Linked DNA regions of Callithrix jacchus. The protein of the gene in region 1 interacts with the protein of each later gene in a biochemical or structural test. Links are inferred from orthologs where the notes say so. Each region holds a gene or a part of one and is shown on either strand. Other genes may lie near its edges.

Region 1 (10,774 bases):
ATGGATAGTCTAAAATTAATCCAACTTGAGATAAATCATTTTCATTGGCATATATTTTTAATACACTACTAGATTTAATTTGCTGTCATTTTGTTTAGAATTTTTGTATCTATTTTCATATGGGAAATAGGCCTGTAATTTTACTTTCATATAGTATTTGGTTTAATTTTTGTTGTTGTTGTTTAATTTTATGAGAAAATAAAATTAGTATTTAGTGGTATCAGTGTTATCAGTATTCGTGGCATGCAGAGTATCATTGTTGTGCTGGCCTTGTAGAATGAGATGGAGGTTGTGATGGTTGATTTTATGTCAACTTTCACTAGGCCTCAGTGCCAAGGTATTTATTTAGTTATTTAGATTATTCAAGATGTGATGGATCCAGCATTATTCTGGACAAGATTAAAGTTTAAATTGATGGACTTTGAGTAAATCAGATTGCCCTCCATAATGGTGATGCACGTCATCCAGTTAGCTGAAGGCCTTACTGGAGCAAAGACGGACCTCCCACAAGCAAGGAGTTTGCCAGCAACCTGCCTTTGGGGCTCAGACTACAACTATTCTCTGCATCCCCACCCTGCCTGCCTGCCCTGCAGATTTCAGACTTGCACTGCCACAATTTCATAAACCAATACCTTAAGTTAATCTCTTCTTCTCCCTCTATATATATACACACACATGCACGTACACGCATGCATGCACGTATGCATACACGCATCCTATTGGTACTGCTTCTCTGGAGAACTCTAATACAGGAGTACACCCTGTTGTTTACTGGGAAATTTTCTATAAATTATGATCTCTTCCCTAATGTTTATGGGAGAACTTGCCTATAAGCCAATCTAGGATTTGTTTTGTTTTGTTTTTGGTAGATTTTTAACTACTGTTTTAATATCTTGAATATTTCTTTTACCATGTAGGCTTTTCATTTCTTTTTTGAGTCAATTTTGACAAGTTATATTTTCCTAGGAATTTGGGCAATTTTCAGATTTGTTGTCATTTAGTTGCCCATATTTCTAATAGTATTCTTTAATCTCCGCTTTCTCTGTAGTTACACACCCCTTTTCATCAGTGTTACTTGTACCTGCTTTCCTTTTTTCTTTATTGCCAGCTTTGGCCCATTGTGCTATTTTGTATTGAAGAACCAATCTTTGGCTCTGTTGATTTCTTCTACTTTTTCACTGTTTTCTAAATCATTAACTTCTGTTTGTTTATGTCTTGCCTTGCATTTATTCTTTTTCTAACATCATAAATAGTTCATTCACTTTTAGCCTATTTTTTCCAGTTTAAGTTTCTAAGTCTGTATATCTCTCTTAGAACATCACTTTCATCACATCCTACAGGTTTAGATTTTTTAATTTCTGCTTTTTCTTTAAGTTATATAATATTGTCTTTAATTTTCAAACACGGCAGGAATTTTTATTTAGCTTTTCAGTTTTTATTTCTACCTTAATTGCTTTGTGATCAAACAAACTCTGTCTAGTTGCCATGCTTTGAAATTTGTGAGTTTTCATTATGGCCAAGTAAAAGATGAAATTTTGTCAATTTTGCATGTGTACTTGAGAAAAATTGATATTTTTATAGTGACTGGTTGTAGAGCTTTATGTATGCCCATTAGGTTTGGCGTATTAATTTTTGTTCAGTTCTGTATTTCTGCTGATTTTTGATCAATAGTTGAGATGCTGAAATCTCTCAATTTACCTAATTTTTCTTGTAATTATAGCAATTTTTACTTCATAATATGTATTAGTAGATACTTACATATAATAAATACATATAACTAATACATACATATAACTAATAACCCTAACCCTAACCATGTATTAGGGTTATTAGTTATTACATACATATAACTAATACATACATATAACTAATAACCCTAACCATATATTAGGGTTATTAGTTATTATATACATATAACTAATACATACATAGAACTCCTAATACATACATATTATGACTATTTTATTGTGCTTTAAATGTTTATATTTTCTTACTGAATTGAACGTTTTATTATGTAGTGATGCCTCCATTCCAAATAATGCTTTTTGTTTTTTTGTATCGTCATAGAGCCATACCAGCTTCCTTTTTGTTGACCTAATATGTTATTCTTTACACTTTTACTTTCAAACATTTCATGTTGTTCTGCTTTACTGTAGCTTTTGGAGGCATCATATAACAAATTGTTTAAAATCCAATCTGAGTCTTTTAATGAGAAAATTAAGTTCATTTGCGTTTGTTATTTTTTGTATCTGTTTTTACTATCTAATTTTTTTATTTGGCTCATTTTCCTTTTTATATCTTTTCTTCTCCAACAAATACTAATTTTGAGGTACTTTTACAACACTTGGTGTCTCCTTTTAACCCCCAACAGGCTGATTTAACTTAGACTTTGTTCTGGATCACTGAATATTTTTGTCTTTTTTTTCTTTTTTTTTAAAGAACCTTACTATTGTGAATTTATAACATAGCAGAAAGAAGTAGGATAAACTATAACTTAAAGAACATGATAGTCCAAATTTAAACTGATGTGTATCCATATACATTAGTCTGTATCTAAAACATGTTGAATGAAAATGGCACATTACAAAGACATACATGTAACATTTTTGTTGAATTCAAAAACGTAAAACATTGGCATATACTATTTATGAATATCTACACATGAGTAAAAATTAAAACATGCCTGCTGTGTCTACCACATAGTAGGTGCTCAGGAAATATTTGTTGAGTGGATAAATGATACTGAGAATGTAACCTGATAACGTAGGGTAGTTATTAGCCTAAATATTTAAAACATAAGAATTGGTGGTCTTAAAATAGTATTGGCCGAACATGGTGGCTCGTGCCTGTGATCCAGCACTTTGGGAAGCAGAGAGGCAGGTGGATCATGAGGTCAGGCGTTCAAAACTAAAAATACAAAATAGCTGGGCACCTGTAATCCCAGCTATTCGGGAGGCTGAGGCAGAGGTTGCAGTGAGCTGAGATCACACCACTGCACTCCAGCTTGGGTTGGGCAGCAGAGCGAGATTTCATCTCAAAAAAATAATATTTCTTTTCATATCTTTTAGATATGGGTAAGTGTCACCTTACCAAAGGCAAACAGGCTTTAGAGATTCGAAGTAGTTTATCTGAGAAGAGAGCACTTACTGATCCAATACAGGGAACAGAATATTCTGCAGAATCTCTGGTGCGGAATCTACAGTGGGCCAAGGCTCATGGTATAGTAAAGTCTGTTTTTTGTTTGATCTATAATATATTTATCTTAAGTCATATAGTTTTCTTCTTCTGAATAACTAACTTTCCTCCCAGTTTTACAATGAAAATATTTTGGCCTACCAGACAAATCTCAAACCAAACAAATGTTTCAATTATGGATATTAATTACACTGGTTTATTTGATGTTGGAAATACAAATTATTTAGCCCATTATTTTCACTATTGGTAAAATTAAAATAACCATTTAAAAATTTTTCTATTTTAAAAATAGGTTAATTTTCCATTTGTCTAATACATAATCCCTTAGATTCTCCTGTATTGCGACCTGTTAAAGTGTGCAGCTGTCAAAATTCGTGGATTTGGGGTCTGATCCAGTCTGAACCAATCTATGAACATGTTATCTATAACATGAATAAGAAATAGTATCTGTTTCAGGCCAGGCGCAGTGACTCACACCTGTAAACCTAGCACTTTGGGAGGCTAAAGCAGGTAGATCACCTGAGGTTAGGAGTTCAAGACCAGCCTGGGAAACATGGCAAAACCTTGTCTCTACTAAAAACACAAAAAGTTAGCAGGGCGTGGTGGCATGTTCCTGTAATTCCAACCACTAGGCACTGATACAAGAGAATCCCTTGCACGTTGGAGGTAGAGGTTGCAGTGCAGTGAGCAGAGACTGTGCCACTGCACTCCAGTCTGGGTAACAGAACATGACTCCATCTCGAAAATAAAATAAATAGTACCTGCTTCGTAGGTTATTGGGATTGAGTGATGGCACAGGTAGAAATGAGCATGGCACTCAGCAAATCCTCTGTGCTTGTGATTACTAATATAACTCAGCATCCTCTCTTGGATACTTGATCAGTAGGTTGATCAAATAGGTTGATCAACAATCAGTCTGTAGCATAATTACCTTTGGGTAATTGTATATGGTTTAATGAAAAAATACGTTTAAATTACTGATTGAAATATTGTGGATTTTCTGAGTCCAAGTATCTATTCTGTGAGTCTCTTATAATTGTATTTATTGAAGTTCCATAAAATATTTTTACAATAATTTTTGTTCTTGGCCAGGCTTGGTGGCTCATGTCTGTAATCCCAGCACTTTGGGAGGCCGAGATGGGTGGATCACCTGAGGTCAGGAGTTCAAGACCAGCCTGGCCAACATGGTGAAACTCCCTCTCTACTAAAAATATAAAAATTAGCTGAGCACCTATAATCCCAGTTACTCTGAATACTGAGCCAGGAGAATCGCATGAACACAGGAGTTGGAGGTTGCAGTAAGCCAAGGTTGCACTATTGCACTCCAGCCTGAAAACGGTCTCAAAAAAAAAAAAAAATTGTTCTCCAATATATATTTTTGGTAAGTTAACATATTAAAGCACATTAAAATGTAAAATGCCATAAATATCTCACCATTCCAGATAACTGGAGAAGTAATTAAAATTGAATGTCTTTTCTCTATAGAAGATCTAAAGAACAAACAATAACAAAATTATAGGGGTAAAGATCAACAGTAAACGAAACCTCATAACACTAAAAGGTCATAGAGAAAGTATTTGTAACAGGCCAGGCATGGTGTAATCCCAGCACTTTAGGGGGCTGAGGTGGGAGGATCACAAGGTCAGGAGATCAAGATCATCCTGGCCAACATGGTAAAACACCATCTCTGCTAAAAACAGAAAAAAATTAGCTGGATGTGGTGACATGCACCTGTAGTTCTAGCTACTAAGGAAGCTGAGGCAGGAGAATCACTTGAACCCAAGAGACGGAGGTTGCAGTGAGCTAAGATCACACCACCACACTCCAGCTTGGTGACAGAGTGAGACTCCATCTCAAAAAAAAAAAAAAAAAAGTATTTGTAACGAATTTAATCAAGTAGGTCATTTTTAAAATATTTTTTAATAATGAGCTCATACAAAATGCTAAGAGAAAAAAATTAAGACTCCTCAGTAAACAAGCAAATGGATGCAAATTCAATAATCCACATTTCTAGAAGTATATTAATTGAGAAAGAAATCTTAAAAATGGCTAATTTAAGTAACTAAGGAATAATTAAAACTATGATGATATCTTTCTACTTTTTAATCCCATCAAGTAGACAGTTGTTTTAAAAATTATTAAAACTGTTTTGGACATGTTATGGTAAAACTTTATATTCCATGTAAATTAAAAATAATTTGTCCCGGGCCGGGCGCGGTGGCTCACGCCTGTAATCCCAGCACTTTGGGAGGCCGAGGCGGGTGGATCACAAGGTCAAGAGATCGAGACCATCCAGGTCAACATGGTGAAACCCCGTCTCTACTAAAAATACAAAAAATTAGCTGGGCATGGTGGCACGTGCCTGTAATCCCAGCTACTCAGGAGGCTGAAGCAGGAGAATTGCCTGAGCCCAGGAGGCCGAGGTTGCGGTGAGCCGAGATTGCACCATTGCACTCCAGCCTGGGTAACAAGAGCGAAACTCCGTCTCAAAAAAATAAAATAATAATAATTTGTCCCATATGTAAAGGAACAATCGCATAGCTATACCTAACAACCTTAAAGCATTACATATATACAAACAAAGATTAACTATGATAGAAAAACAATAAAACCTGGAAGTATTATAATTCAAGAGTTAACAGAACGTTAAACTATAGTGTGGCCATTCAGTGACATTGTGCTTTATTAAAAATTCTGGTCATGGGCCAGGCGTGACGGCTCACACCTGTAATCCCAGCACTTTGGGAGGCCAGTGCAGGCAGATCACAAGGTCAGGAGTTTGAGACCATCCTGGCCAACATGGTGAAACCCCATCTCTACTAAAAATACAAAAATTAGCTGGGCCTGGTGCCATGTGCCTGTAATCCCAGCTATTAGGGAGGCTGAGGCAGGAGAATCGCTTGAACCAGGGAGTCAGAGGTTTCCATGAGCCAAGATCACACCACTGCACTTCAGCATGGCAACAGAGCGAGACTCCGTCTCAACAACAACAACAAAAAATTCTGGTCATATAAATTGAGATAACAGTGAAAATGTATCTACAATTGTATGCATATTTTTTATTGCCACAATAAAAAATATATATACAGATGTATAAGAACTATGAGCAAATGGTAAATAAAAGCTTTTGTTCAGCCAGCAGAGTATTGAGCTTTATTTTTTAAAATGTGTGTTTAAACAATATGATTCATGTTTTTAAGCAAAACAAAGGCTAACTATATTCTCCTTCATAAGTATGTGCCTCTTATCAGGAATTCTACCAAAGTTGTTGTTATTGTTCTTTTTCAGAACTTCCAGAAAGTATGTGTCTTAAGTTTGACTGTGGTGTTCAGATTCAATTAGGATTTGCAGCTGAGTTTTCCAATGTCATGATAATCTATACAAGTATAGTTTACAAACCACCGGAGATAATAATGTGTGATGCCTACGTTACCGATTTCCCACTTGTGAGTCTCCTTTGTTCTCTTATTTAAAATACAGTGATAAATTCACTTATTAAACATATAGGAAATATGTATATTTATATATGTGTGTATATTCGTTTATTGTTTAGTAACACTGGTCGTAATATTTACTAATGATCAAAATACCTTAAGTTTGTCAGATTTAGAAATGTCTAAAGTTTACTCAAGAAAGACACCTTTAATATCTTAAACAGCATAGCAAATGTGAAGGAATAAAATGTGCTTTAAATATGTCGAGAATAACTTCCTTTTAAACAGTTATAACTTATATTGGAAACAATGGTTTTTAAGTCTTGTCAAGTTATGGTCACTGGAATAATAGAAATCTAGTTCTGTTCTTTTCAAACATTTAGATATGATGTTTATTTTACATTAGTCTAAAGAAGCCAGTAAATAGTACCCCTCTTTCCTACGTGAGTGTGACAAACTGAGAAGCAAGCAAGGAGTAAGACACGCAGAAACCCAGAATATCACTTCTGTTACTGATAGAGGCTTTGTGGAGGGTATTGCTTCATGTGAGAGTAAATGGTCTAGCACCAAACCCCAGAATTCAAGGGCCACCCCACACCTCCAGTCTCAGCAGCACAGAGCCCAGATAGGCTTCCTGGGGTGCTGAGCAAGGGGAGCCCTGTGGGTTTCTCACTAGAGGAGCAGAACCCTCTTGGCCTTTGGGTTGGCTCTAAAATAAGAAAAAGGAAAAGGTTGCTTATTTATCTTTCTTAAATATTCTAATTATATAAATTTCCCTGCACCTTCCAACAAGTGATGATTAAGAGGAGAGAATCCAAGAGTCAAACACTAATGGGACTCTCTCTGCTTAAGAGGAAACCTTGCAAAATGTGGGTGAAGGGGAGAAGAAAAGCAAAGCACACTGCCATGTGTGTACCTACGCAACTGTCTTGCATGCTCTGCTCATGTACCCCAAAACCTATAATCCAATAAAAAATTTAAAAAAAAAAAAAAAGAGGAAACCTGAGTAGCTCAAGGAGCATTTCTAGGAATCATTTGAAAGGAAACTCTTTCAGAGCTCACTTTACTTTTTAAATGGCTTAGTACAGAATTGAGAATTCCTATTATAACCATAGATTGTTGTTTTCATTTAGTCTTGGATAAATAATTTTGGACTTACAAAATTCACGAGAGGCCAAAATTCATGAGAGAACAGTATCAGTTAAGACATCTTATGTGCTAGATTATATTGTGGCTTTCATGGATTTCATTATTAACAGTCACTGATTTTTCTTTTATAGGACCTAGATATTGATCCAAAAGATGCAAATAAAGGCACTCCTGAAGAAACTGGCAGCTACTTGGTATCCAAGGATCTTCCCAAGCATTGCCTCTATACCAGACTCAGTTCACTGCAAAAATTAAAGGTTACTACCTTTTCTGTTTATAGCTTCTAATGAAAAACTTTTCAAAACTGGAAATTTATTTTGGCATAGACCATAGATATGCCGCCTTAGTGAGTATTCTGTAGAGATAACCAATCTACAGAAGGTCCCATCAGTGACTCTTTTTATATTCTGTTTCTGACAGTGGGCAGAGGACTTTATTCATGCTTACCATCCATACTGCTGAAAAATTAGGAACATAGAGCATTTTATCTTTCTTTTAAAATAGAGTCTCGCTCTGTTGCCCAGGGTGGAGCACAGTGGCGTGATCTCAGCCCACTAAAACCTCCAACTCCTGGGTTCAAGGGATTCTCCTGCCTCAGCCTCCCAAGTAGCTGGGATTACAGGCATGCAACACAAGCCCTGGCTAATTTCTGTATCTTTAGTAGAGACAGGGTTTCACCGTGTTGGTCAGGCTGGTCTCGAACTCCTGACCTCATGATCCTCCTTCCTCAGCCTCCGAAAGTGCTGAGATTATAGGCATGAGCCACCACGCCCAGCCTAGAGCATATTCTTTTTTCTTTTCTTTTTTTGGAGACAGCTTCTTATTCTTCACCCAGGCTGGAGTGCAGTGGCATGAACATAGCTTACTGTAACTTCAAACTCTTGGTCTCAATCCTGCCACCTCAGATTTTCAAGCAGCTGAGTCTGCAGGCATGAGCCACCACACTAATTTTTTTTTTAATTTTTTTGTAGAGAAGGGATCTCACTATGTTGCCCAAGCCAAACTTGAACTCCTGGTCTCAGGAATCCCCCCTTCTTGGCCTCCCAAAGCACTCGGATTACAGATGTGAGCCACCACGCCCAGCTCCATATTCTACTTTTAAATATGTTGAGATTTTCAAGTAATCATTTCCTAGTTCTATAAGTAAACATATTTAGCAAATTAGAATTGGAATTTCAATTTTTTAATTTCCAGTTGATTTACAAATGAGAAGCTAGTTCTGCATGTTGAGTGTTCTAATGAAAGCTTTTCTGTGCAAAAATTGAGATTTTAATTTGTTCACAACTACATGACCATATCAGCCAAAACTCAGGAAATGGAATGGGCACGATTAAGAATTGCACACATAAACCTGTTGTCATCCTGTTCAGAGCTCATCTATTTAAAATCCTTTCTTCTCTTAAAAAGTTAGCCTGGTATCTGATTCAGTTATATTTTCCACCTATGATTACAGATTTTAATATTTTAAAAACAGCTTAAGCTTTTTTTGTGAAACTGGTATAAAACCAGTTGTTTTGGGGCCAGGCGCAGCGGCTCACACCTGTAATCCCAGCACTTTAGGAGGCCTAGGCAGGTGGATCACAAGGTCAAGAGATGGAGACCATCCTGGCCAACATGGTGAAACCCAGTCTCTACTAAAAATAGAAAAATTAGCCTGCCATGTTGGTGGACTCCTGTAGTCCCAGCTACTCAGGAGGCTGAGGCAGGAGAATCACTTGAACCCAGGAGGCCGAGGTTGCAGTGAGCTGAGATCACACCACTGCACTCCAGCCTGGCGACAGTGAGACTCCATCTCAAGAAATAAAAACAGTTGTTTTTAGATGATGTCTCGCTCTGTCACCTAGGCTTGAGTGCAGTGGTGGCAGTCTTGGCTCACTGCAGCCTCCACCTCCCAGACTCAAGTGGCTCTTAGGCCTCAGCCTCCTGAGTAGCTGGGACTACAGGTGCACACCACCATGCCCAGTTCATTTTTTGTACTTTTAGTAGAGATAGGAGTTCAAGACCAGGCTGGCCAGTGTGGTGAAACCGTAACTTCAAATGATCCACCTGCCTCGTCCTCTCAAAGTGGTGGGATTATAGGTGTGAGGCACCATGCCTGGCCCAGTTCATTTTTTAATTAAAGAATAATTCCCCATCTCTAATAATAGGAAAGGATAAGTGTCCTAAGCTGCACTGCTTGGAAAATATGTTTTCCCTGTTCATCTTGAATATCAGGTCTCTTTCATTTTGACTACTAACAATAGTAAGAACTAGCAATTGTACTAAATTTGTTGTAAGTATTGCATGAAGGAAAAGGAAGATGAGAGCTGGTGTTTCTCAGTTTAGGAGAGATAAAAAGGATGCCTTGAAGATGTGGAACCTGGGAAAGGAGAGCAAGTGGATGTGTGGTGGGGTAGGGGTATGAATAATATTTTTTCAGATTACTACATATTTATTCCCTGTTGATGCCAATAATAAACCAGATTTTTTTTTTCCTTTTCAGGAACATCTAGTCTTTACAGTATGTTTATCGTATCAGTACTCAGGATTGGAAGATACTGTAGAGGACAAGCAGGAGGTGAATGTTGGGAAACCTCTCATTGCTAAATTAGACATGCATCGAGGTTTGGGAAGGAAGACTTGCTTTCAAACTTGTCTCATGTCTAATGGTCCTTACCAGAGTTCTGCCGCCACCTCAGGAGGAGCAGGACATTATCACTCATTGCAAGACCCATTCCATGGTATTTATCATTCACATCCTAGTAATCCAAGTAACGTTACACCAGCAGATAGCTGTCACTGCAGCCGGACTCCAGATGCATTTATTTCAAGTTTTGCTCACCATTCTTCATGTCATTTTAGTAGAAGTAACGTGCCAGTAGAGACAACTGATGAAATACCATTTAGTTTCTCTGACAGGCTCAGAATTTCTGAAAAATGACCTCATTTTTAAAAGTTTGCATAATTGTAGATGCCTCATGTGAAATAGTACTGTACTTACATAAAGTGAGACATTG
Region 2 (11,426 bases), on another chromosome or scaffold:
GCCTCAGCCTCCCAAGTAGCTGGGATTATAGGTGTCTGCCACCACACCTGGCTAATTTTTGTATTTTTAGTAGACACGGGGTTTCGCCATGTTGGCCAGGCTAGCCTTAAATTCTTGATCTCAGGTGATCTGCCTGCCTCAGCCTCCCAAAGTGCTGGGATTACAGACATGAGCCACGGCTCCCAACCCTGACATGTCCTTTTAGTTAGTCACTACAGACCTTTTTTTTTTTTTTTTTGAGATGGAGTTTTGTTGTTGTTACCCAGACTGGAGTGCAATGGCACGATCTCGGCTCACTGCAACCTCCGCCTCCTGGGTTCAAGCAATTCTCCTGCCTCAGCCTTCCGAGTAGCTGGGACTACAGGCGTGCACCACCATGCCCAGCTAATTTTTGTATTTTTAGTAGAGACGGGGTTTCACCTTGTTAACCAGGATGGTCTCGATCTCTTGACCTCGTGATCCACTTGCCTTGGCCTCCCAAAGTGCTGGGATTACCGCGCCTGGCCTTTTTTTTTTTTTAAAAAAACAGAATCTCACTCTGTCACCCAGGCTGGAGTGCAGTGACACAATCTCGGCTCACTTTTGGCCTTTGCTTCCTGGGTTCAAGCGATTGTTCTGCCTCCGCCTCCTTAGTAGCTGGGACTACAGGCGCACGCCACCATGCTTGGCTAGTTTGGTGTTTTTAGTAGAGACCGAGTTTCATCATTTGGCCAGGCTGGTCTTAAATTACTGACCTCAAGTGATCCACCTGCCTTGGTCTCCCAAAGTGCTGGGATTACAGGCGTGAGCCACCATGCCCAGGATCAACAACTATTTTTGAGGCCTGGCATTGGCAAGGGGCAGAGAGGAATCAGGAGAGCTTCTGGTCCTGCAACAATGGAGCTGCTATTTGTCACCCTTATCATAAACACTAGTCTAAGTGCAGCATGAGGTGGGCTTCATCCATTACATTTAATATTACTCACTGTCCTGGTCACCTTCCCAGTCCATCACTTTGCCCTCATCTCCACCTCTTTCCTGTCAGTCACTCGCACCAGCCTCCTCACTGTTCCTTTTTTTTTTTTTTTTTTTGAGACGGAGTTTTGCTCATTACCCAGGCTGGAGTGCGATGGCGTGATCTCAACTCACCGCAACCTCCGCCTCCTGGGTTCAGGCAATTCTCCTGCCTCAGCCTCCCGAGTAGCTGGGATTACAGGCACATGCCACCATGCCCAGCTAATTTTTTGTATTTTTAGTAGAGATAGGGTTTCACCATGTTGACCAGGATGGTCTCAATCTCTTGACCTCGTGATCCACCCACCTCAGCCTCCCAAAGTGCTGGGATTACAATTTTTTGTATTTTTTTTTAGTAGAGATGGGGTTTCACCATGTTGACCAGGATGGTCTCAATCTCTTGACCTCGTGATCCACTGCCTCGGCCTCCCAAGGTGCTGGGATTACAGGCTTGAGCCACCGCGCCCGGCCTTTTTTTTTTTTTTTTTTTTAAAGATGGAGTCTTGCTCTGTTGCCCAGGCTAGAGTGCAGCAGTGCAATCTCAGCTCACTGCAACCTCCACCTCTCAGGTTCAAGCGATTCTCTTGCCTCAGCCTCCTAGGTAGCTGGGATTAGAGGTGCCTGCCACTGTGCCCAGCTAATTTTTGTATTTTTAGTAGTGATGGGGTTTCACCACGCATGTTCCTACCACAGGGCCTTTGCACACGCTCGTTCCTGTGCTTTGAACACTCTCCCCCAGATATCCACATGGATCCCTCACCTCTTCTGGCTCCCTGTTCAAATGGCACCTCTCAGACGCTGATCTTCCTCATGCAAGCGGTCCTCCAAACTCATTGTTTATCCTGCTCTCTTCTGTAATACCACCACCACCACCAGACACTGCTTACCTGTTTTCCATGTGTCTCCTCACTTAGAGTTCCTCAGTGGTAAGGGCTTTTTGTCTGCTGTGTGCCTCGCTATGTCCCCCGCTTTTAGAGCAGTGCCTGACACTTACACTGTGTGTAATAACTCTATATATTGAAGAGCCGGGCACAGTGGCTCATGCCTGTAATCCCAGCACTTTGGGAGGTTCAGGCAGAAGGATCACTTGAAGCTAGGAGGTCAAGATCAGCCTGGACAACGTAGCAAAATCCCATCTCTTATTTATTTATTTGGGACAGAGTCTCACTCTATTGCGAGGTGCCAGGCTGGAGTGCAGTGGCACAATCTCGGCTCACTGCAACCTCCGCCTCCCGGGTTTAAGCAATTCTCCTGCCTCAGCCTCCCCAGTAGCTGGGACTACAGGCGCGCACCACCACACCCAGCTAATTTTTGTATTTTTTAGTAGAGACAGGGTTTCACTATATTGGCCAGGATGGTCTGATTCCCCCCCTTTTTTTTTTGAGACGGAGTTTCGCTGTTGTTACCCAGGCTGGAGTGCAATGGCGCGATATCGGCTCACCGCAACCTCCGCCTCCTGGGTTCAATCAATTCTCCTGCCTCAGCCTCCCGAGTAACTGGGACTACAGGCGCATGCCACCATGCCCAGCTAATTGTTGTATTTTTAGTAGAGACAGGGTTTCACCATGTTGACCAGGATGGTCTCGATCTCTTGACCTTGTGATCCACTCACCTCAGCCTCCCAAAGTGCTGGGATTACAGGCTTGAGCCACTGCGCCTGCCCTAAAATCCCATCTCTTAAAAAAAGAAAGCAATAGGGCCAGGCACAGTGGTTCACCCCTGTAATCCCAGCACTTTGGGAGGCCGAGATGGGCTAATCACCTGAGGTCAGGAGTTCAAGACCAGCCTGGCCAACATGGTAAAACCCTGTCTCTACTTTTAAAAAAAAGAAAGAAATGTAGTCCCAGCACTTTGGGAGGCTGAAGAGGGCAGATTGCTTGAGCCCAGGAGTTTGAGACCAGCCTAGGCAATATGTTGAAACCTCATCTCTGCAAAAAAACACAAAAATTAGGCCAGGCATGGTGGTACACACCTGTGGTCTCAGCTCACCAGCTGTGTGACCTCAGGCAACTGACTTCATCTCTCTGAGCTTCAGTTTCCCGTCTGTCTAGTGGACCTAATGATAGGATGGTTATGAGGATTAAATACAATGATGTTCACAGTTGCCATGTGGCCAGGTGCAGTAGCTCAGCCTGAGCAACAGAGCCTCTCTCTACAAAAAAATAGAAAACAGACTGTGCATGGCAGCTCACACCTGTGGTCCCAGCTACTTGGGAAGCTGAGGCAGGAGAATCGCTTCAACCCGGGAAGCAAAGGTTACAGTTAGGCAAGATCATGCCACTGCAGTCCAGCCTGGGCGACAGAGTGAGACTCTGTCTCAAGAAAAGAAAAGATTAGCCAGATGTGATGCTGTGTGCCTGTAGTCCCAGCTACTCTGGAGGCTGACGTGAGAAGATCTCCATAGTCCAGGAGGTTGAGGCTGTGGTGAGCCGTGTTCCTGCCACTCCAACTTGGTTGACAGAGTGACACCCTGTCTCAAAGAAAAAAAAATTCACATTTGTATATAGCACTCACATGTGCCGGGTCCTGTTCTAAGAATTTTATGTTTTAAATATTTGTGTCATATTTAAATATTGTGTGACCTTGGCCAAATTAATTTCCCTGGGTCTCAGTGTTCTCATCTGCTCTGTGGGGATAACAACATATACTTCACAGGATTATTGTGAACATTCAACTTACAGAGTTATTTATTTTTCTTTTTGAGACAAGGTCTCTGTCACTCACGCTGGAGTGCAGTAACACGATCACAGCTCACTGCAGCCTCAACTTCCCTGGCTTGAGCAATCCTCCTGCCTTGGCCTCCCAAAGTATTGGGGTTACAGGTGTGAGCTACTGTGCCCAGCTAGAACACCCAAATTTTGTACATGCAAAGGAAAGACACCAAACCCTGCATCTGTGGTTCGATAGTGCCTGGCATTCAAGTTAGAACCTAATAGATTACCTAGTTGTTCTCAGGGATATGGGGGACTTAGGAATGTGATCTAGCCAAATGGCTGCCCCTCTTTCAGCCTGAATCTCTTCTGCAATAATCCTATCATATGCTTCTGGCACTGGTGCAAGGGATGAGCTCAGGGGCTGGGCACCAAGCTCAGGATGTGTACGGAGGCTACACTGTTGCCATTTGCAGACTGCATCACTGAGCTTTTGAGCTCAAAGTGCTCTGGGCTATTTATGGGGAACTTTCAGGGGCTGCGCGGAGGAACAAACCATTAAATAAAACATCCATGCATTCATCCAATAAACATTTTTCTTTTTTTAGGGAGTCTCGCTCTGTCGCCCAGGATGGAGTGCAGTGGCGCAAAATATTGGCTTACTGCAACCTCTGCCTCCTGGGTTCAAGCGATTCTCCTGCCTCAGCCTCCTGAGGAGGTGGATTACAGGCGCGCACCACCGTGCCTGGCTAATTTTTGTATTTTTAGTAGAGATCGGGTTTCACCATGTTGATCACACTGGTCTCGAACTCCTGACCTCGTGATCCGCCCGTCTCGGCCTCTCAAAGTGCTGAGATTACAGGTGTGAGCCACCACGCCCAGCCTAAATAAACATTTATTGGGCACCTACGGTGTTCCAGGCGCTGGTCTAGGCGTTGGGGATACAGCAATGCACAAAACAGAAATTCTGAAGCTGACACGCAAGCTTTAAACATTCTTTAAGGGCCGGGAGCGGTGGCTCACGCCTGTAATCCAAGCATTTTGGAGGCCAAGGCGAGCGGATCACCTGAGGTCGGGAGTTCAAGACCAGCCTGACCAACATGGTGAAACCCCGTCTTTAAAAAAAAAAAATTCCTTAAATATCTTTATCCTCAATTTGCGGTTGAGGAAACTGAGGTGTAGCGAGACCTTGGAGGTTTCCGAAATATTATTACGGATGGCAGCTGTAGAGGACTGGCAAACCTCCCAATCCTGAAGCTTCCCTTCCAGCCTGAAAAACGGCAGGTTCAAGTCCCACTGGGAGACCAAGGCAGGCAGTTTCCCGGCTTGCTCAATGGGTAGGGCGTGATGGTCCCAAGCAGGCCTCAGTTGTCTTGTCCAAAGCAATGGGCAGCGACGCCTGCCCAACCCCTCCTGAGCGCACAGCCTCCCTTTCCCGGCCGGCCCCGCCCCCGCGACCACGTGACGCGTGGGGGTTTTCCCGTTCCCCAGCCGTGACGTCACGGCGGGGTGCGGACCAATGATCGCGCAGGCCGGCAGCGCCGGGGAATTCCGCCGCCCCGCCCCCTCCCGCCGCCCGCCCGGCCCGGCCCCGCGCCCCGCGCAGCCCGGGGCGCCGCGCGTCCTGCCCGGCCTGCGGCCCCAGCCCTTGCGCCGCTCGCCCGACCCGCAATCGTCCACCGGACCGTGCCTCCCGGCCGCCCGGCCTGCCCGCGTGCATGCTTTGGTCTGGGCGGGCCTCTGGGCCGTCCGTCCCCACTGGCCGGGCCATGCCGAGTCGCCGCGTCGCCAGACCGCCCGCTGCGTCGGAGCTGGGGGCCTTGGGTAAGCGGCGCTGGGGTTCAGGAGAGGGGTCCGGGCCGGGGCTGGAGATGGGGGAATTCTGGCAGTCCCGGAGTAGTCTGGGGGATCCTACGGGAATCTAGGGGTTTCGCGGGGACAGAGGGTTCCGGAGACACTGTATTAGGGAGTAGGAAGGAGGCAGAGGGTGATGAGGGAGTCCGGCCGGAGGTTCGAGCAAGGCGTCCCGCTGTAGAGTGAGAGGGGGCGGGGCCTGACCCTGAGGCAAAGAAGGGGGCGTGGCCTGACTCAGAGAAGGCGGAGCGAAATCTGCTTTTGGGGAGCATGGGGGCGAGCCCCGGCCCCGAGAGGGAGAAGAGGGGCGGGATCCCACCGGGACTACAAGAAGAGGGCCAGGCCTGACTCAAAAAAGGAAGCAGAGCCCAACGCGGAGGGTGAGGGGGCGGGGCCTGGCCGCGAGGTCCAGAAGGGGGCGGGGCCTGAGTTGGCCGAAAGAAGGGGAAGGGGCGGGCCTGACTCTGACCGAGAGGAGTGGAAGGGCCTGTTACCCAAAAAAGCAGGGCGGGGCCTAATACAGAGAATGAGGAGAGGGTGGGGCTTGCCTCCCGACGGAGAAGCGGGGCCTTGACATTGAAAAAATAAAAAGTGGTGTGACGCTGAGAGGAGGCTGTTTTTTTGCTTTATTTTATTTTACTTATTTTTTGTTTTCGTTTTTTTATTATTGTTGAGGAGGATGTTTTGGTTTTTTGTTTTGAGACAGAGTCTCGCTATGTTGCCCAGACTGGAATACAGTGTCACAATCTCAGCTAATTGCAACCTCTGTCTCTCGAGTTCAAGCGATTCTCTTGCCTCAGCCTCTCAAGTAGCTAGAATTACAGGCGCCTGCCACCACACACGGCTAATTTTTGTATTTTTAGTAGAGACGGAGTTTCACCATGTTGGTCAGGCTGGCCTGGAACTTCTGACCTCAAGTGATCCACCTGCCTAGGCCTCCCAAAATGCTGGGATTACAGGTGTGAGCCTCTGCCCCCAGCGGGATGGGGGCTTTTTATGAGTTTAAGAAGGGGTCCCCTCCAGGTCCAACTTTAAGGGAGAAAAGGAGCAGGCCCTGAGTGTGATGAGGTTGGTGTGAACGACAGAAACTAAAGGCCAGGACCTGTCCATGATTTAGCCAGGAAGCCTGGCCAACCGAGTGGGCAATCGGGGGAGGGGCCTGATCTAGAGGGGAGGGGCTAAGAGGGGAAAGGGTGGGGCTTGCTTGGGAGATTCTTTGGTCCCATGGCTGCCCTCCATCACCTCCTGAGACTTTCCTCCTTCTCTGCAGGGTCCCCCGACCTCTCCTCGCTCTCGCTTGCCGTTTCCAGGACCACAGGTGAGCAGCCCTCCCCCATTCCTGCCCACCTGCACGTGCAGGATGGGGTTGGGAGGACCCCGTGGAGAAGTCTCTGTTTGGGGGCTCACCGAAGTCCACCTCAGCTTTCCCCTGACAGGCTGCATCCCTCCCTGCCAGTTGAGATGGGCCCCCTAGGTTTTCCTACCTATCGAACTGTTAAGAGCATGACAGGTAAAACTAACCACGTATCCAGGTGAGAAGCCTTCTTTAGAGATTCTCTGTGGCTTAGAAGGTAATCACTGCCATCCTGGGCTTTGGAGCTGGGGTTTACATGCTGTTGTCACCGCCCCTCCCTCTGTGAGTGTCTGCAAGTCAGTTCCCCAGTCCAGGCCTCAGTTTTCTTCATCTGTAAGATGGACAGAACAACAGTGCCTCTCTTTCAGGGGGATTGAGAGGATTGAGTGAACTGATAGAGGTACACTTTCCACAGTAAGGGCTCAATAAGTGTTAACTGTTACTGGTATTATAATAATATGATAATAATTATTACTAAACAGTCTATGACAGTGGTTAATTTTTGGTGTTTTTAATTTTAATTTTTTTTTTTAAGATGGGGTTTCACCATGTTGGTCAGGCTGGTCTTGAACTCCCGACCTCAGGTGATCCACCCACCTTGGACTCCAAAGTGCTTGGATTACAGGCGTGAGCCACCATGCCCAGCCTGTTTTTTTTTTTTTTTGAGATGGAGTCCTGTCCCATTGCCCAGGCTGGAATTCAGTGGTGTGATTTTGGCTCACTGCAATCTTCACCTCCCTGGGTTCAAGCTATTCTCCGGCCTCAACCTCCTGAATAGGTGGGATTACAGGTGCCCACCACCACACCCCACTAATTTTTTATATTTTTAGTAGAGACGGGGTTTCGCCATGTTGGCCAGGCTGGTCTTGAACTCCTGACCTCAGGTAATCTGCCTGCCTTGGCCTCCCCAAGTGCTGGGATTACAGGTGTGAGCCACTGTACCTAGCCAGACAGTGGTTCTTAAACCTCATGCATCAGACTCACTGAGAGTGCTGGTTAAAACATAATGTTGGCCGAGCTTGGTGGCTCACACCTATAATCCCAGCACTTTGGGAGGCTGAGATGGGCAAATCACCTGAGGTTGGGAGTTTGAGATTAGCCTGACCAACATGGAGAAACCCTGTCTTTACTAAAAATATAAAATTAACCAGACGTGGTGGCACACGCCTGTAATCGCCGCTACTAGGGAGGCTGAGGCAGGAGAATCGCTTGAACCCAGGATGCAGAGGTTGCAGTGAGCTGAAATTGCACCACCACACTCCAGCCTGGGTGAGTTCACACTACTGCACTCCAGCCTGGGCTCCAGAGCAAGACTCCGTCTCAAAATAATAATAATAATAAAAATAGGCTGGGCACGGTGGCTCACGCCTGTAATCCCAGCACTTTGGGAGGCCGAGGCGGGTGGATCACGAGGTCAAGAGATCGAGACCATCCTGGTCAACATGGTGAAACCCCGTCTCTACTAAAAATACAAAAAATTAGCTGGGCATGGTGGCGCGTGCCTGTAATCCCAGCTACTCAGGAGGCTGAGGCAGGAGAATTGCCTGAACCCAGGAGGCGGAGGTTGTGGTGAGCCGAGATCGTGCCATTGCACTCCAGCCTGGGTAACAAGAGCGAGACTCCGTCTCAAAAAAAAAATGTCAGGCCCTACCTCTCGAGTTTCTGATTCAGTAGGTTTGGGATGAGAAATTATTTTCATTTTTAGCAAGCTCCCAAGTGATGCTGAGAATTACTAGTCTATAAAGTCCCCAGCCAAAATTCACTGCATTCAAAAGGAAATGCAGAATTTCGACCAAATTATGACATTTTTCTTATATACGTTTGCTGGGATTTAGAGGGCAGGGATAGTCCTGTCGTTGTGGATACTCAGTGGCTGTAGTTAGCTGGGTCTGAGCCTTTCTCGGGCAGTATCATCTTGGGATTTGGATGGACGCCATTCTGGCTTGGCCATGGAAGAGGTGAGGCCAGTTCCCCAACAGGTCTGCGAGTGTAGGGAGGATGGCATCAGGGACAGGCACTGCCCAAGTGGTGGTTCTGGGCAGGAACAAGGCTGAGAGTTTTCTTTTCTTTTTTTTTTTTGAGATAGAGTCTTGCTCTGTCACCCAGGGTGGAGTGCAGTGTCACAATCTCAGCTCACTGCAACCTTCGCCTCCTGGGTTCAAGCGATTCTCCTGCCTCAGCCTCCCGCTGGGACTACAGGCATGTGCCACCAAACCCAGCTCATTTTTGTATTTTTAGTAGAGACGGGGGGTTGCCATGTTGGCCAGGCTGGTCTGGAACTTCCAGCCTGAAGCGATCTGCCTAGCTTGGCCTCCCAAAGTGCTAGGATTACAGGCATGAGCCACCACACCCGGCCAAAGCCAAGACTTTTCTGGTTCAAGACCTAGATCTTTGATTTCAAATGAGTTATTTCTGATGTCATCCATTCAATAAATATTTATTGTGCACCTGTTCTGTACCTGGCCATGTGCTGAGCAGTACTGACAACAGCCCTAGCCTTGGGGTTCCCTACCTAGATGGGAGGTAGACACACAAACATTAAATTAAATATGGGATTGGCCGGGTGCGGTGGCTCATGCCTGTAATCCCAGCACTTTGGGAGGCCGAGGCGGGTGGATCACGAGGTCAAGAGATCGAGACCATCCTGGTCAACATGGTGAAACCCCGTCTCTACTAAAAATACAAAAAAACTAGCTGGGCATGGTGGCGCGTGCCTGTAGTCCCAGCTACTCAGGAGGCTGAGGCAGGAGAATTGCCTGAACCCAGGAGGCGGAGGTTGCGGTGAGCCGAGATTGCACCATTGCACTCCAGCCTGGGTAATAAGAGCGAAACTCCGTCTCAAAAAAAAAAAAGAAATTAAATATGGGATTATAAAATGTGATTAGGGCTATGAAGAAACCCTGGGGTCAGTGATATTTAACAGCAGGGTGGGGATACCAGAACTAATGAGACAGAATGGGGGCTGGGCGCGGTGGCTCACGCCTGTAATCTTAGCACTTTGGGAGGCCGAGGTGGGTGGATCACCTGAGGTCAGGAGTTCAAGACCAGCCTGGCCATCATGTTGAAACCCCATCTTTGAAAAAAAAAATTAAAAAAGAAAAAAAGAAGAAAAGAGACAGAATGGGAAGGAAAAATCCCTTCTCTTTTTTTTTTTCTGGAGGCAAAGACTCATTCTGTTGCCCAGGCTGGAGTGCAGTGGTGTGATCTCACCTCACTGCAACTTCTGCCTCCCAGGTTCAAGCAATCCTCCTGCCTCAACCTCTCAAATAGCTGGGATTACAGGCACCTGCCACCACACCCAGCTGATTTTTGTACTTTTAGAGAGACAAGTTTCACCATGTTGGTCAGGCTGGTCTCAGAATCCTGACCTCAACTGACCCAGCCGCCTTGGCCTCTCATAGTGCTGCGATTACAGGCATGAGCCACTGTGCCTGGCTGGCTGGAAAATTCCCTTCATTCTGATGGGCCAGACACATGCTGGACCCTGGGGATGCAACGAGGACAGACAGACATTGTTCCCACTCTTCAGTGCTCCCAGTGTGCAGGAGAAGACAGGTAACAGTCAGTGTCATGCGAGGTCACGTGACATCCTCTTTTTTTTTTTTTGAGACGGAGTTTCGCTGCTGTTACCCAGACTGGAGTGCAATGGCACGGCTCACCGCAATCTCCGCCTCCTGGGTTCAAGCAATTCTCCTGCCTCAGCCTCCCGAGTAGCTGGGACTACAGGCGTGCACCACCATGCCCAGCTAAGTTTTGTATTTTTAGTAGAGACGGGATTTCACCTTGTTGACCAGGATGGTCTCCATCTCTTGACCTCGTGATCCACCCGCCTCGGCCTCCCAAAGTGCTGGGATTATAGGCGTGAGCCACTGCACCCGGCGACATCCTCATTAATGCCATGAGAATGATGAAACAGGCTAGATGCAGTGGCTCATGCCTGTAATCCCAGCACTTTGGAAGGCCGAGGCAGGTGGATCACCTTAGGTCAGGAGTTCAAGACCAGCCTGACTAACATGGCAAAACCCCATCTCTACTAAAAATACAAAAATTAGGCCAAGCATGGTGGCTCCCACTTGTAATCCCAGCTCTTTGGGAGGCCAAGGCAGGCAGATCACCTGAGATTGGGAGTTCAAGACCTGCCTGACCAACGTGGTGAAACCAGGTCTCTACTAAAAATACAAAATTAGCCAAGCATGGTGGCGCATGCCTGTAATTCCAGCTACTCGAGAGGCTGAGGCAAGAGAATCCCTTTAACCCAGGAGGCAAAGGTTGTGGTGAGCCGAGATTGCACTATTGCACTCTAGCCTGGGCAACAAGAGCAAAACTCCATCTCAAAATAAAATATTTAAAAAATTATTTTAAGGCTGGGTGCAGTGACTCAAGCCTGTAATCTCAGCACTTTGGGAGGTCAAGGTAGGTGGATCGCGAAGTCAGGAGTTCAAGACCAGCCTGGCCAAGATGATGAAACCTATCTCTACCAAAAATTAAAAAATTAGTGCCTATAATCCCAGCTACTCCGGAGGCTGAGGCAGAAGAATCTCTTGAACCCAGGAGGCGGAGGTTGCCGTGAGCTG

The links.
Region 2: of the proteins of MALT1 (region 1) and RELB, one has a biochemical effect on the other in vitro, tested with the Homo sapiens proteins (2 studies listed by BioGRID). The link is inferred for Callithrix jacchus from reciprocal best matches to the Homo sapiens genes MALT1 and RELB.

Annotation. Positions count from the first base shown.
Region 1 is NC_133514.1:101,763,260-101,774,033, forward strand, and holds part of MALT1 (mucosa-associated lymphoid tissue lymphoma translocation protein 1), read left to right. Parts: intron 1-3,068; coding exon 3,069-3,218; intron 3,219-6,483; coding exon 6,484-6,641; intron 6,642-7,909; coding exon 7,910-8,035; intron 8,036-10,260; coding exon 10,261-10,698; 3' UTR 10,699-10,774. UniProt on the Homo sapiens protein: Protease that enhances BCL10-induced activation: acts via formation of CBM complexes that channel adaptive and innate immune signaling downstream of CARD domain-containing proteins (CARD9, CARD11 and CARD14) to activate NF-kappa-B and MAP kinase p38 pathways which stimulate expression of genes encoding pro-inflammatory cytokines and chemokines.
Region 2 is NC_133523.1:39,197,688-39,209,113, forward strand, and holds the start of RELB (transcription factor RelB), read left to right. Parts: upstream 1-5,218; 5' UTR 5,219-5,362; coding exon 5,363-5,468; intron 5,469-6,768; coding exon 6,769-6,816; intron 6,817-11,426.